4 linked regions of the Danio rerio genome follow. The protein of the gene in region 1 purifies or fractionates together with the protein of each later gene. This does not show direct contact. Links are inferred from orthologs where the notes say so. Each region holds a gene or a part of one and is shown in the gene's direction. Other genes may lie near its edges. The genes, in order: pomp, psmg2, psmg1 and psma4.

Region 1 (4,111 bases):
TGTTACGTTTACACACACATGCACATGGCTGTGTCCGAAACCGCATACTTCCATACTATATAGTACGCTAAAATCAGTATGCGAGCCGTGTAGTATGTCCGATTTCATAGAATTCGAAAATCAGTATGCGAGAAGTACCCGGATGACTTACTACTTCCGGCGAGACTCTGAAGTGCGCATCCCAATGCACGCTGCGCTATCCCATAATGCCCCGTGAGAGAATTCATGAATGGAAGTGAGGCGACACAACTGACGCAGGTAGGTCACGTGTCCATGACAAATTGGCGGATGTAGTACGTCCGAATTCCATTCAAACTTTTCACATTCATACTGTATAGAACGTACTTTTCTAACGGCCGAGTAGTACGTTTAAATTCAAATGCAGTACCTACTGAGTAGTAGGCGGTTTCAGACGCAGCCCATGTAAATTCATCAGCTTTTAACAGTGTAATACTCACTACTGACTACTCTTGAGTACTTTTGAAAAGGTCTATTTTTTACTCATACTTTGAAAAGTATTTACCACAGATACTTTTACTCACACTACATTTTTATGTAAGCCATGGTGCTTTTACTTGAGTATGATTTTTCAGTGCTAGAATATGAGAAAGTTTTCTTTTTCTTTTTTTCTTCAAAATCTTGTTATATTCCGCTGTGTATTCACTTTTCTCAAAATGAAATATTTCAAGAGCTTTGTTCTTCTTGCTTTTGTTACAACTCAAAATATTTAAACATTTTCTTAAACTTGAACTCTGCATATTCATGCATATTCAAGTTGTGGAACCACTTAAGTGTGATTTAATAGTCAGTTTCCTGTTACTATCTCTTTAAATAGATTGCAAAAAATAATAATAAAGAACTTGTCGATGCGATTATTATATATTGTTACAATTATATTTGAGAAAGACATCGCTCTTACTTCGCAGAGTTGTCTGTCTCATTTGAGTTTGCCTAAATCTATCATGCAAATTATAATTACTAAAAGGACAGAAAAATAATGAGTATTGAGGGGGCACCCGGATTTGAACCGGGGACCTCTTGATCTGCAGTCAAATGCTCTACCACTGAGCTATACCCCCTTTCTCATACCACACTGCTCCATGAAGTGTTATTGTAGACAAATAAGAAATGTTCATTCTGGTATTTCTTTATTGATTATGTCAGTGGCCTATATATATGATCGGCAATATTAACAAAGATCTATTTATGGTATAAACCGCTCTCAAATATAATTTCATACGTCGTCGTCACATGATAACAAAAGTATATCCGGGGACTGACCGGAAGTACATTAACTCTAGTCGGAAAGACAAGCTAGATAAAAGATGGTAATGTTGAACTTCAGTTTTTACTTTTATTTTATTTTATTTCCCTTTTTTACATTGGGCCATTTTTTTAGATGGCTATTTAGGTTGTTTTCAGCATACTATGAAACTATGTACATATAGCATTGAAAAGCGCTTATTTCAGCTGTGCCGGTTGTTAGCTTGCTAGCATAGCATGGCAGATCGTGTTTATTTATTTCCTAGAGCAGATTAAGTTATCAGTTTGCAATTAATGTCATGAGCACTTATTATTTGCTTTGGCATTTTATTTATGATACATATTATTGCTTTGTATTGATTTTGTCGGCTTTTTTGTTAGCATCTGAGTGAATTGTGATGCGTCATTGCTTCAACTCCAGTCATCGCTTAACTTACTTTCAGTTTGTATTTAAGTTACCTGTAAGTTAGGGGGATTTTTGGAAAAGGTTTTGGGAGATTAAGACATCAGATCAGGCCAGAACTATTATTAATTGTTTCCTGATTAAATATTATAACTTAATATATTGATAATAATTGCATTTTCCAGAACTTGAGCAATCCAGTATAACCTGATATCAACGAGACATTTTTATGTAGTCATTTTTTCACTGACAGGAATAGTTTTACAGACAGTATTGCATTTTACCTAAGATTTAGCATATATCTAACCATTGTTTAAATACGTTAAAGAGAAGAATCCTTTATTATACAAATGTTTTGTTGAGGTAGTTTGTTTTTCTTATTAATAATACAACTTCAGAAAATATTCTTTGCCAATGACTAAGAACTATTGTTCACAGTCAGTATTGAAGTCAATAGAGGTAAAGTTGGTTTTATATTCGGATATTCAGACTTTCTCCTTAATAATATAATTTCAAAAAAGCAATGCTTAACATTTCTTAATAGGGAAATTATATTAGCAGCAAATGATTATCAAAGTACAGCATTGTTCACAGTGAATTAGATAGAGTTAATGTTGTTTAGTAGTCATACTTGCATACTAATTCCTATCGAATATTCAAAGTAACATGGTAAACAATATAGACTGCTAAATTAACAAATGTGCAAATATAAAACCAACTTTACCTCTATTTGAAGTCATACTTCCATGCAGTTTCAGACTGAATATTCAAAGTCGTGTGGTTGTCTCTGTTTTTAAAATGAAGCAATGTGTAAATATAAAGCCGGCTTAACTTCAGTTTTTTCCCCATATAAACAATATTTGCTAACATTTAAGTCTAACATTGATTTAAGTGCACTTTTGGTGTTTCATTCGATTTTGTTCTGCATATTCGTATAGTTTTGTTGATGTCTGTGAGTTTTTTTTTTTTTTTTAAATGGTAAATGCTATTGATGATCGTTTTGTCGTGTTATGAAAATATGCATTTTTGGTGTCACAATACTATAAAGACAGTCATGTTCAAATGATGAATCTTATTCCTTTTCTTATACTTGTAAATTCTCATATTTATAATTTGTAAGTTTTCCTACAAAAATAAAGATTTTATCTCCTAGAAGGACAATTAATAATACATCTAATTAGTATGGTTTTCTATGGAATAAAAAAATAATAGGCAAAATTGTAAACAATTAGTTTTATATAACTCAGTGTTTATGTGCAACACATCTTGTTCACAGAAGCTTTTAATGTTGTATGTTATGTAATTATTTTCATTATCTTTTGCATAATGTGTGTGTTAATAAAGACATAATCTTTTAGAGACATGAACATGTAGAGTTGTAACTGTCAAAAACCCATTCGGGTCTGTTTTCACATCAGCGGTGTTTAATTATCTTGCTGTGTGTGTTTTCCTCAGAACACTCGTGGCCTGCGCTCTCAGCTGAAGGACAGTGTTCCTGTCACAGGTCTGTGTCCTCAGGCTGGTCCTTATGGGGTCCAAGACTCTCTGCGCAGAGGGTGAGTTTTGCCTACAGAAACCTGTGCTGTGTTTGTTTCTGCCTCTTTTACAATTTTTCTTTTGACATTTTTCTTTGCTCATAGGTTCTCTAGTGTCAAAAATGAGCTTCTACCGAGTCATCCATTGGAGCTCTCTGAGAAAAATGTAAGTGGAATGAAGAATTTGTCTGTCTGTGTGCAATTACATAGAACAAGCTCATTTTTGTACATATAAATGGTTTTAAATGGGCATACATGTGGGTCATATGACATAAAAATGTATATTTTTTAATTAAAACTTAAAATTTGTTACCCTGGAGCACAGAATATTTATGTTGTACAGGTATATTTTTAACAATATGCAAAAATACATTATATATACTGTTGAAGTCAGAATTATTAGCCTCCACTTGATTTTTTTTCCCTTTTTTAAATACTTCCTAAATGATGAACAGAGCAGGGAAATGTTCACAGTATGTCTGATAATGTTTTTTCTTCTGGAGAAAGTCTTATTTGTTTTATTTTGACTCGAATAAAAGCAGTTTTTAATTTTTTAAACACCATTTTATGGTCAAATTAATAGATAAATGCATTAAATCGACATGCATTCACGAGCGGTTGTCGCGACTCGCTAGAAATGAGAATCACTTGTAATGTTGATTAATGTAATATTGATTACACCTACCCCAACCATAAATCCAAAAAGCTTTGTTTTTCCCATCTCTAGCATAAACTACTATGGCTATACTGAAAAAGTCAGCAGATAGTTTACTTCAGATCATGGAGAAGAAAAAAACAAGCAAACATTTTAAACATGAATGTTACAACTTAGTTAAACCAGCAATATCAGTTACTCAGCTTGTACTTTTAATAATGTTTATGACTTTTAATATTCATTCATAAGATTAGA
Region 2 (3,566 bases), on another chromosome or scaffold:
ATAATTTGAAACGGATCTTAATCCTTCATTGTTTATTTAAAGCTACCCAATCGATCCAACACAATCACAAAGCTACCCAATCATCAACAATTCATCTCAATAAAACTTTTAGCAAAACTATATTCATAACTAATTGTAATAGTTAATTCATAACTATGTCTGTTGTGCATACATTTATTTTAAGTTTTTTTTTTTTTTTTAATATGTAGCTAACAAATAACTAATTACAATTAGTTTTTTGTTTTTGATAGGGCATGTACATGTTTTTTTCTGCTGGGCTATTAAAAAATCCTTAGTGTTTAAGACTATATACGTCTGAAATTTTATTCTTCATGGTCTTAAAAAGGTCTTAAAGTCTTAAATTTGACTTGGTGAAAGCTGCAGAAACCCAGTTTATGAAGTTCTTTCTTCTGTTGAACACAAAGGCAGATAATCTGAAGAACGCTGAAAAAAACGGCTATTGACATCCATAGTAGGAACAAACAATACTATGAAAGTCAATGGCTGTTTTTTTTTTTTTACCAGCATTCTTCAGTATATCTTTCTGTGTGTTCGACAGAAGAAAGAAACTCGAACTGGTTAGAGGGAACAAAAAAAGCACTTGCAGAATTTACATTTTTTGGTGAACTACCACTTCAATAGCAGCTGACATAAACCTGTTTTTGAGCAGCACTCCTCTGCGATACATGTTGAGCCCGTCTCTGGAGAAAGAGGAACGGCAGAGGTTCGAGGAGCTGGGCTGGAGGGAGATGGAGAAAATCAGTGTTTTCCCTGGTATCTCTGACTCTGAGCAACGTCTCTATATTCCTGGAGGAGGAGTAACAAAATGCCTTTACACTGACTGGTAAAATACCTCATATTTCTGTAAAATGTCTAATTAATAATAGTAAAATCAGTCAAAGAAGTGTTTTTTTTGTCTTGTAGTTGCACAGAGGACGTCCCTATGGCAGTAGTGCTTATCTTCTGCTCAGAAGGAGACAACATCCCTGACGCGTTTGCTCTCATCAATTGTCTCAATGACTGGCTCCATCTGCTGGAAAAACCTGTAAGTTTAGTTTTATATTTAAATCCTAATAATAGGACATGCGCCTGAAATGTTATCAATGCAACATCAAAATACATTTGGTGGTGCATAAAATTAATGTCGCGCGACCAGTGCGTGGAACTAGGCGGCATTCACTCATTAAGCATCTTTGCACCTAAAAACGCCAAACGCAGCGCTCAGGAATGGTTTAAAACAGTTGACATGTCAACTTGCAGTAAACAAACCCCACAATGATTGCCCCGCCTTCAAGCTCTTCTTATTGGCCCACTGCGATAGAACAGAACATGAATAGATTGGTTAATATCAGCTGTCAATCACTCAGTTCCAATGACAGGGCGCTACAGCCGCAAAAACGTAAAGGTCTGGATACGAGAGAATGAAAACAACATTGACAGATTTAGTTTTAGAAACCACCTAAAGTTACAAATAATGACACATCTGATTAGTGATCATGTAATAAATGTTAATCCAGCATTTACACATTTCCAAGAGTGGATAAAAGACTTCAAGTGGTTAAAGTCCGCTATGAAAATATCTAAAGCATACACCGTTAAGCCAATGGGACAGAGTTTACAGGTTACAATGTTTGCCACTGAATCTACACATTTTAAGCATGAGATGCTCTAACGTTATTTAGTCCATCATTTAATCATCACGTTGCTGTCAATCGTGCAACTGAGACTGCGTTCACTATCGCTAAAGAGCCTGCATTCGAAGATGAAACTAATATTGCAGCTCATGAAAAGACCATTACTGCTATTATGATGACGTATGCAATTAATAAGTATATATTTTATATGTCAATATCATCTGTGCAATATCAGACACCACCCGTGAGAACACAGCACAGTTATTATTGTTAACTAGTAATAGGGCCGTTGAATTAAAATCTGAGAAATCCTCTGGCTTTTTTCTTTTATTGCTGTATCGAAAACATACCGAACCGTGACACCACTGTATTGTATTGAACCGAGCCGTGATTTTTGTGAACCGTTACACCCCTTATATATATATATATATATATATATATATATATATATATATATATATATATATATATATATATATATATATATATATAGTGTGTGAACAAAAGTGTTTTTGAAGCTTCATATCATACTGAATGTTTTGACAAAGTTACTGAGTTTTTGGTCTTGGACCATTGGAGTCTATGGAGGATGAGAGAGCTCTCGATTTTGATCTAAAACATCTTAATTTGTGTTCTGAAGATGAACAAAGCTTTCAGGAACTTCACATGGATAAGTCATTAAAACAGTTTTCAGCTGTGCATGAACTAATCTTTAAATATTGTAGAGCTACTTTTTTCATGTATGTTTAAAAGAACAAATCATTATCACTTCTGTGGAAGCTGGTGCAAATTTGTCAGTGATAAAAGTTTCTATTGAAATATAAAACCATGTCCTATTAGAAATGTTTTGAATTTGTATTTCTTAACTTGATTTTTGAACATCTGAAACTTAAGACTAATTTTTAAGTCTGATTTTTATAGACATATTTTTACATTTTTATTTACTCTGAATTCAAAGACTGCAGACATTGGGTATTTAAAAATACAGTTTTAGGTTTTTAAGAATTCAAATGAACACAATACAAATTCAGATTGTTGTGGCACTGTTAGCTTCATGTGTATTTAGGAGACGTTCACCCAGAATGCATCTTTGCACCTGAAACCCCTATCCAATGACTGTAAAAAGAAATAATGACTGGTCATTAAAGTTTGGTACTACAGCCAAACAAAATCTGATTGTAAGCTCATTTTTTGAGATATCAGCTTTAGGTAGAAAGAGACCAAACTTAAAAACATGCTTCATCCAATAACTGAACTTTTTTATTTATTTTTTAATCATTTTTGGGTGAACTATCCCAATAAGTCTGTGCTCTATAGTTCTTAACCTTTTAAGTTGAAATATCATATTGTGCTTTTTAAAATAGCACAATGGATTTAAATGTGAAAAAGTACCTACAACATATATAAAGTAACTAACCGTGGTTATTAGGTGCTGAAAAAGCATACAAATGCACATTGAAAGTGCTTGAAAAGTGCTGGAATTTGAAGTTGAAAAAGGTTTAAGAACCCTGAATATGCAAAGGCCTTGGTTGCATCTGATATTACATTGTGTTTTTGTCAATTCAATAATAAAAATAAAAAAATCATTTTGAGCTTGTCCTCCTCTGACCTTTTAAAAGTGCTAATTGAAGCCCCAAATAATAAGTAATTAAATGTGAAAATGCCAGATGGAAATGGTAATGTTTCTCAACTGAACACTTATAATCAAATCAGTGTAAGCACATTTTAATACCAGGCAGTAACGGTCAGACCTCCTTTTTTATTTAATAAATCAGTGTCTCACTTAGGGATGTAACGGTATCAGAATTTCACGGTACGGTAATACCTCGGTATGAATGGCACGATACGGTATTTATTGAATCATTTACAGGAAAAACAAAAATAAGGAAAATACCCCAAAAAAATCGACAACACCGCTAATTAGTAGGCGCA
Region 3 (4,311 bases), on another chromosome or scaffold:
TAATATATATATATATTTGGGTGTAGAAGTTATATTGTGGACGGGAAAAATACATTCTGTGATTGTCGGAATGATGTCTGACAGAGTGTTTCGGTTGTAGTCTGATACTCTTTGAATTATTACAGTCATTGTATCAGACAATTAGTGTGCCCATTTGAGCTCATCATATTGTATTCTTTTAATATTGTATTCTATTGTTGACCGAGAGATGAGGGGAGAGCGCGAACGCAGTCCCCCACTACCAGAAATTACGCAGTACAGATTCCTGCATTTGAGAAATTGTCAGAGGTCAAACTAGCCGATTTGTGCAATGGCTAATCCTCGCCCTGGGTGAACCACCTTTCTGATCATGGTATCGCCCCTGCCAGGTAAGTATGATTCCGTTATAGTACCGGAAGGGTCTTGACCGTCAGAAACATCCTTCTTGATGGCGGTGACTCTTCACTACGCCACACGTGAACCAATGCGATCAAACCGCACAATCCCGCTGTGTGTAGATGCAAAGATTACCCCTTCATCTATATATTTATTTATGTACTTATTTATGTATTTTTTAAAACAGAATAAGGACATTTTGCAGCGAACCACTTCCCATCATGCAACGGGACAGTCGAACAGCCAATGGAAAAGCACTACTTAAAACTAGCCTTTTTCAGAAATCAATAATCAGAATTTGTAAACTCAGGTTGAAGTAAAACTCTGGACAGTTTATCTTTTGTAGCTTCATATATTATAATCTAAAACAAACTAGCGAAAACATTCAATGAACACTATGACGTAGGCAACAAGAACGTGTCATGTACATCACTTCCGTGAAATCAAAACAAAGAGCGCCGACAGAGTTCAGATTTTAACTCCATGATCCTTAAATATATATTTTAACCATTAAAAAAGAACCATTTGTACGTTCAGTTGTATCCCCAATATGTTGTATGTATTTGTAATATAATCAGTATTTTATGATGGTATTTGTGGCCGTTCCGCACTTGTTTTCCTCAACAGAACGTGTGCAGTTACACATAATAAGATTTCGAAAAATCACGAAGCTTTGTGCACCATACAGCCATATAACACATACATGATCACATCAGTGCCTCTTTTAGTGGTTTCGACACAATAGAAGTTAATAAACATACAAATAAACACCTCAGCCTCTTTACATTCAGACACCTTCACTCCCGATCCAATACAGCCTGTTCAGGTGTATGAGACAGAGGAGCATGTGTTGAGGACGTCATGTAGTGCATTTATACAAGAGAGACAAGAAATGGTAACTCAACTGATAAGTTTAAGAAATGCAGAAATAAGTTTCAAAGGTCTATTAGAATGAGCAGAAGAACAGAAAGGAGGTGTTTGATGAATTTCCTGAGGGAAAACTGAAAGGAGTCCAGAAGGGGGCAGTAATGCAACAAACAGGATGCCAGCTGCCCTTAAAACCTAACGACGAAGAAGAAGAAGAAGCATCGCGTAGTGTTGCTCATTACACCCCGCCTGTGAGTTTTATTAATAAATTAGCTTGATTATCAGTGTAATATGGCGACATTCTTCGGCGAGGTGTTATCAGTGTATTCTCGAGCTGTGGAAGAGGATGAGTATGAAGACATGACGAATGAAAACGAGGAAGATGAGCAGATCCGCCGCGAAATAGAGGAGAAGAGGTGACATGCTCATCATATTTACTGATTATCTGATCAAACCTGTGACTGCAGTCAATATCAGCACTTTATAAGAGAAACGCAGGACGCTTTCACTTTCACTTCAGCAGCGCGGGTCTGTGACTCATCACGTGTCTCTCTTCATCATCATCTTCATCATCGCTGTGTTACAGTGATCCTCTATGGCGTTTAGCGATACTTAATGTCCTGTTTCTATCACAGCAACAGCACCACATCACACAGTTAGCCGTATTTACTGACCAAAACCACACTGTGGTAAATAAACACACTCTGCACTTCAACATGCTGGATTATTCTCATTTACTGACTCAACAACACTCAAGCTCAGCTCATTCAGACAGAGGTAAAGTTGGTTTGATATTGGGATATTCAGACATTCTGCTTAATCATTTATTTTCAGAAAAGTGTTCTTTGCTAAATCTAAATTGGGAGATCAGATTAGCAGTCAAAGACTAAAGTACAGCCATGTTTACAGTCAGTTATATAGTGTTGATGTTGTTTTGAACTCATACTTGTATGCTAATTCTGATTAAATATTCATATGAGTGTGGTAAACGATATAGAGACCGTTAAATTAATGAATGTGTGAATATAAAACCAACTTTACCTCAGTGTTACAGCTCTAGTGTTCAGTTTTGTTTATGTGTGTTTGTGTGTGTGTGTGTGTGTGTGTGTGTAGATTGAGTTAATATTCAGTGTTGTGTTGTATGTATTGTGTAGTGTGTGTGTGTAGGGTGTGTGTAGATATATTGTGTTACAGGTATTGTGTTGTGTTCCTCCAGGTCAGTGGAGGTGTGCTGGCTCTTGGGCTCTCAGGATGGGCCCCTGCAGTGTTCAGATCTGATCATTGGCGCGGGGCCGAACGCCAGCGGTGAGACCTCACTCCTGTACTCTAGACACCGCAGATGTGTGTGTGTGTGTGTGTGTGTGTGTGTGTGTGTGTGTGTGTGTGTGTGTGTGTGTGTCCTTGAAAATGTATTAATTTCAATGTTCTGTTTTCAGCGGTTAAAAAAGTGCTTGGAAATAGAATTGTGTAGTTGTGTAGTAATTACTCTCCTAGTAATTTATCTTTCTTATTAGTTACCTTTTGAAAATAAAGAAAATATTTTTGTTTTTGTATGAAGTTCAACATGTGATTTTATGTTTGGGGAGATTCACAGTGAGTCACTGAATGACTGAATGACTGTGTTAAATGAAAGATTCAGTGAAAGATGACATGGCGATTCCCACTGCAGGATTTGATCTTAATTTAATGTATGATAAATAAATATAATGTAGTACTGCGATATTCAACATTTGGAAAAATTAGATTAAGATAAAACATGACATGTAAGATGTGAATAGATGACATTTAGGAGAGTAAACGACAGTATATCAGTGCCGATAGACGACTGCAGGCAAACACACCATATACATGATTAAAATACTGCACTATACTATTGAACATTACATCAAACAACAGCAGAGCATGTGTTTGGACTGTGGGGGAAACCGTAGCACCCGGAGGAAACCCACGATAACACGGGGAGAACATGCAAACTCCACACAGAAACACACACTGACCCAGCCGAGACTCGAAGCAGTGACCTTCTTGCTGTGAGGCCACAGTGATAACCACTGAGCCACCGTGTCGCCATGAATAAAGATAATGTTTTGCTGTGTGTGTGCGCGTGTGTGTGTGTGTGGTCTGTGCAGGGTTTATTCGTGCGTATCTGCTGAGCACTGTAGGATGGACGGCCGTGGCGTGGCTCTCCTTCTGGAATGAGCGGAGCCGTGGGTCTGAGCGGCCGACTGTGGTCCCAGGGCCCGGAGAGCCCTCCTGTGTGCTGTACCGGCTGGAGAGCTGTCCCACTGTGAGGAGCGCACCATCACTATACACTACAGGAGAGCTATTCTGCCACTATATACAAGCTGTACACAGTGTGTGTGTGTGTGTGTGTGTGTGTGTGTGAGCTGGAAACAGCACACGGATGATGTTCTCCAGCTTTCTGAAACTGACCCTTTCAGGCTGTGATCCTCATTGTGGTGTTTTGATGACTGTCGCTTTAAATGTAATTGTGTGTGTGTGTGTGTGTGCGCGCAGGTGCTGATCTGCCAGTGCCAGGGTTTTGTGGCAGAGGATCAGCTCTTCCAGTTTACAGAGAAGGTGAGGCCTCATACAGAGCTGTGTGTGTGTGTGTGTGTGTGTGTGTGTGTGTGTGTGTGTGTGTCTGCGAGCCCTTCCTCATTGCTGTGTGTGTGTGTGTGTGTGTGTGTGTATGTGTGTGTGTCTGCGAGCCCTTCCCCATTGCTGTGTGTATGTGTGTGTGTATGTGTGTGTGTGTGTGTGTGTGTGTGTGTGTGTGTGTGTGTGTGCAGGTCTTCTCATGTGTTCAGACGAGGGATCTGAACGTCACCATTCTCTCAGACTGCTCCTCGGCTGATTATAAGACATCAGACTACCTGAGTGGGAGCAGCACACCATTCCTGCGCTGTCTGAAGACCAGCACATACACACACACCGTCACATGTCCACCGCTGGAGCAGCCCAACATCTGCAGCGGACTGGCAGCCGCAGGTACAACACCGCTATACTGCATTATTACACTACTGTACTGCTCACTTCACCATACTGTAGTCATGCATAACGTGTGTG
Region 4 (4,358 bases), on another chromosome or scaffold:
ATATATCAATTCAATTCATCATAATTTCTGTAGCACTTTTACAATGTAGATTGTCAAAGCAGCTTAACATAGAAGTTCTGGTAAATTGAAACTGTGTCGGTCCAGTTGAAGATCAGTTTAGTTCAGTTCATTTATTTATTTTTTGACATAATCCCTTTATTAATCTGAGGTTGCCACAGCGGAATGAATCATCAACTGATCCAGCACATGTTTACGCAGCGGATGCCCTTCCAGCTGCAACCCATCACTGGGAAACACACATACACTATGGACAATTATAGCTTACCTAATTCACCTAATTAGATTACCTGATTCATGTATTTGGACTGTGGGGAAACTAGAGCACCTGGAGGAAACCCACGCGAACGCTAAGGGAACGTGCAAACTCCACACAGAAATGCCAAGTTCGGATCAGTGACCTTCTTGCTGTGAGGCGACAGCACTACCTGCTGTCACTGTGTCACCTAGTTCAGTGTGGTTTCATTTTCACTGCTGAAAGTCCAAACACTGAAGAGCAAATCCAACGATGCGCAGCTCCACAAGTCCTAAACCAAGCAAGCCAGTGGCGAGGAGCAAACTTCACCAATCAACGAAAGTGAAGGAAAAAAAAATCGAGAAAAATCAGGCTCAGTTGGGCAAAACCATTTCTTTCAGGAATCAGTCTCATGCTCTCTATTCCTCAATGGCCACCACAGCATCAGCTCAGGATACGGCCTGGTCCAGGATTATGGATACCTTGGCATCATCTCTTTACAGTTCTTGGATCATATCAATGGTGCTGCACAATCTCTAGAGCCCTCTGGATGAGGATCCCCAGGTGGAAAAAGAGAATAACACATCACAGAAATTAACTTCCTCTTATCAGAGCGTGATTTTCGAAAACGTACATCATGGGTCTTACACCTGATTCCTGGAGGGCCGCCGCTCTGTACAGTTTTGTTCCAACTCTAATTAAACTAATCAAGGTGTTTAAGGCTACTACACTATTAAGCAGGTGTGAGATGGAGATGGTGGAAGCTAAACTATGCAGAGCTGCAGCCCTCCAGGAATTGAGTTTGAGACCATTGAAGTACACAATTTTTAACCTTCATTTTCAAACATTTTTACACTTATTAGAATATTGCCGTTTCAATAAAAACGCTATAACGTTTAACAACAAATTGATATAAATAAAAGGCATTTTTAGGTAGTTTTAGAAGTCGTAGTCCCATGAAATTAAAATATTTCAATATCAAACATTGAATTACAAAAAAACACTTCATGGGACCTTTAATGTTAAAATATGTTTTGAAAAAATAAAATTAATGTTGCAACTGATATTCTATGTAGAAAACCAAATAAAAGAAATTTGAAATATAAATTAAATAAATGATAGTCAAGCCAATCTGCTAGCGCATCCGCTTACCCTCAAAAAACTGAGCCAATCAGATGGCTGAACGTAAGACACGTGACTCATCCTGGAAGTGAACCCAGAGTGGACGCGCTTCTCGCCGCAGTGAATTTCTTCAGCGGAGTCGGAGCCGCAACAGTGAACAGGCATTGCTATCCCAGGCTTTAGGTATGAAAATTGTAATATTCTACAATTTTTTACATTCTTCACATCATGTTTATGATAATCCCAAACATTTGATGCGTGTAAGAGACGCTGAGCCGGCGTAAGGTGAATTAAACGAAGGCTAATTTTAAATGATATGAAAAGTTGCTGCTTCATGCTGTTATGCAGCTGCTAATGCTAAAGCTAAACACATTCATACAGGAGAAACTGATAGAAGCGCTACAGTTCACCTTTATATTCCAGCACATTTAATATTAAAGTAGTTTTTATTGGTAATTTAATGTATTCGTTATGCTTCATTTGTGTTTGTGTGGAATTTTGCTATTTTCAGCTACTTTCTGTTTCATTTTGTTGCTCAATGAGTGTTTAAGCGCCTTAGATAGTGACAGCAGCACAACAAATATTTTTAACTGAAATAAACTGATATATTTATTAATTATAATGTGTTTTAACTATTAATGTTGAGCATATTTTTCTTGTTTTGCACTATGTTTTATGTATTCATATATGTATTGACAGCAACACAAATACATTACTGATTAATTAATTAATTTTGTAATCTGTTTGCAGGATTTATTTTATTTAGGGCACTATGGTAAGTAACAATTTATTTCTTAATTTTTAATGCGTTTTATTGATTAACAACATTCATAATCATAATTTTTGCTTTATTTTTACAGTCTCGGAGATATGATTCAAGAACGACCATCTTTTCCCCAGAGGGTGAGGGTCTTTATAGGCTGTTTGGTTAAATTATTGTGCGTTTTATTGTTCTGAATGTTGATTATTATTGTTTTAATTATGTTTTGCAGGGCGTCTGTATCAGGTAGAATATGCCATGGAGGCCATCGGGCACGCTGGCACCTGTCTGGGCATCTTGGCCAATGACGGTGTGCTGCTGGCTGCGGAGCGAAGGAACATCCACAAACTGCTGGACGAGGTTTTCTTCTCCGAGAAGATTTACAAACTCAACGAGTGAGTCTTGGGTTTTTTTTTTTTTTTCATATGAGATTTTGAGCATTTGTTTGACTTGAGTATCTTTTACATTGTTAAATGAACACAAATAACCTCCTAGCATTTGAATTTCTCAGTAATAGTTTTGTAAATGAAGATAAATTAATAAAATGTATTATTATTTCTTGTATTGGCGGAATAGCTTTGAAATTAAAGGTGTAGATTTATTTGTTTATTTATTTATTTATTTGTAGACTGATCTATTTATTATTATTATTATTATTTAATCCAAAGCCACTTGATTACAAATGTGGAAGGCACTGTGCAAATGATCATAAAGAGGCAATACACATAAGAAGTGCTACTAATACAAAGATTCTGACATGGTTAGGAAAATAAAAGCTTGGTTTTTTTGTGTGTTTGGGTATTTTTTTGTAAATCTTTTTGGCCTAGTTTTAGGATATAAGCTTGAAATTTATTTCAGTTTGTTTTTAAGTTATTTTAATATGTTTTTGATTAGTTTTAGCTTCTTTTTTTGTCATTTTGCAATATGCACTTGTCATTTTTATTTTTTTATTTTGGGTCTAGTATTTAAAATGTGCTTCAGTTTGTTACTTTTTTAAACTTTTTTTTTAACCTTTGAGGCTGAAATTTTATCTGTGTTAGTCAGTAGTTTTTTCTTATATTTATGCGTTTAAGTATTAGAAATTTTTACTACTTGTACTTTTCGATTTAATTCAAATAGTTATCAATTCTAATTTGACCTTGTTTTTCGTTCAATTTTGATTTATTTCTATTTCTGTGTATGGTCATTGTTAGGTTTTGGTAAAATGTAATGCTTTTTCAGTTAGCTATAAAAGCTTATTTTTAGTTTGCTTTAAAGTTTTCATCAAACATTTATGTCATTTCAGCTTTACTTTAAATGTTTTTAGTCATAAAGTAAGGCATAATGTACATGTAGCCCGTTGTTCTAGCAGAATAAAGCCTGACAGGTTTTTCAGCAGCTGTTGCATAAGACTGAATTGATTAATTCTGCGTAAAGACCTGTCTAGATGTGCATTATCCCACTTGTTTCATGACTTCTTGCCACAAAACTGAACTAAATTAGACATAAAACACTGATCTGAGTTGTAATAATTTACTAAGTCTTTAGTTAGACGTAAAGCATGTAGAAATAAAAACATCTGAATGCAGGCTGTGCTCATTATCCAGGCACAAGATGGCGACAAAAAAGCATGTAAAAAATTTAGGTTATAATGGCTATAGTTGTGTATAAGTCCTATATTTTATCTTTAATAGGAATAACAAAAAATCGATTAAAAGTTAAAAATAGCTTTCAATGTATAATCTCGTATATATTTCCCGCTGGTTTGTGTCTTATTTTTATTATATTTTTTTTACTTTTTTTTTCTTTGTTTAAAATGTGCATAATGTACCACCATTTCTGTATTTTTTCTGATGTTATAAGTTTCAATTCAAAGTTGCTGCAATCTTTATTGTTAACTGGTTTTTGAAATCAATAAAAAAACTGATTATAAGATAGAGGTGTGAACCTACACTGGTCTCACGGTTCAGTTACGATTAACATGCCATCGATTCAGTTAAATTCGATATCACGGTGCATTGACAATGCTTTCCATACACAGTTTTATATTTTCTTCACAGCACAGCAATTCTTGTATTAAAATGTATGAATATATTTATATTTACCATTTGTAATACAATTTTGTCCTTTAATACAAACAGTCAGATATATAAACTGTACCTTTAAAACAACACAAGCGTTTACAGCAAATAAACAAATACAAATATCCAGCTCGCCTTCTGAGCCTTGTCTAGCAAGTTCTGT

The links.
Region 2: the proteins of pomp (region 1) and psmg2 purify together in Homo sapiens (co-immunoprecipitation; 6 studies listed by BioGRID and IntAct, counting the BioPlex papers as one, with this or other methods). This does not show direct contact. The link is inferred for Danio rerio from reciprocal best matches to the Homo sapiens genes POMP and PSMG2.
Region 3: the proteins of pomp (region 1) and psmg1 purify together in Homo sapiens (affinity purification with mass spectrometry; 4 studies listed by BioGRID and IntAct, with this or other methods). This does not show direct contact. The link is inferred for Danio rerio from reciprocal best matches to the Homo sapiens genes POMP and PSMG1.
Region 4: the proteins of pomp (region 1) and psma4 fractionate together in Homo sapiens (co-fractionation; 4 studies listed by BioGRID and IntAct, with this or other methods). This does not show direct contact. The link is inferred for Danio rerio from reciprocal best matches to the Homo sapiens genes POMP and PSMA4.

The regions. Positions count from the first base shown.
Region 1 is NC_133196.1:43,981,005-43,985,115, reverse strand, and holds the start of pomp (proteasome maturation protein), read left to right. Parts: upstream 1-1,298; 5' UTR 1,299-1,325; coding exon 1,326-1,328; intron 1,329-3,121; coding exon 3,122-3,222; intron 3,223-3,306; coding exon 3,307-3,367; intron 3,368-4,111. UniProt on the Homo sapiens protein: Molecular chaperone essential for the assembly of standard proteasomes and immunoproteasomes. Degraded after completion of proteasome maturation. Mediates the association of 20S preproteasome with the endoplasmic reticulum.
Region 2 is NC_133194.1:13,460,146-13,463,711, forward strand, and holds part of psmg2 (proteasome assembly chaperone 2), read left to right. Parts: intron 1-670; coding exon 671-844; intron 845-924; coding exon 925-1,045; intron 1,046-3,566. UniProt on the Homo sapiens protein: Chaperone protein which promotes assembly of the 20S proteasome as part of a heterodimer with PSMG1.
Region 3 is NC_133185.1:517,321-521,631, reverse strand, and holds the start of psmg1 (proteasome assembly chaperone 1), read left to right. Parts: upstream 1-1,454; 5' UTR 1,455-1,533; coding exon 1,534-1,658; intron 1,659-2,458; coding exon 2,459-2,547; intron 2,548-3,371; coding exon 3,372-3,529; intron 3,530-3,759; coding exon 3,760-3,822; intron 3,823-4,034; coding exon 4,035-4,233; intron 4,234-4,311. UniProt on the Homo sapiens protein: Chaperone protein which promotes assembly of the 20S proteasome as part of a heterodimer with PSMG2.
Region 4 is NC_133200.1:6,943,310-6,947,667, reverse strand, and holds the start of psma4 (proteasome subunit alpha type-4), read left to right. Parts: upstream 1-1,494; 5' UTR 1,495-1,558; intron 1,559-2,125; 5' UTR 2,126-2,147; coding exon 2,148-2,150; intron 2,151-2,235; coding exon 2,236-2,278; intron 2,279-2,367; coding exon 2,368-2,530; intron 2,531-4,358. UniProt on the Homo sapiens protein: Component of the 20S core proteasome complex involved in the proteolytic degradation of most intracellular proteins. This complex plays numerous essential roles within the cell by associating with different regulatory particles.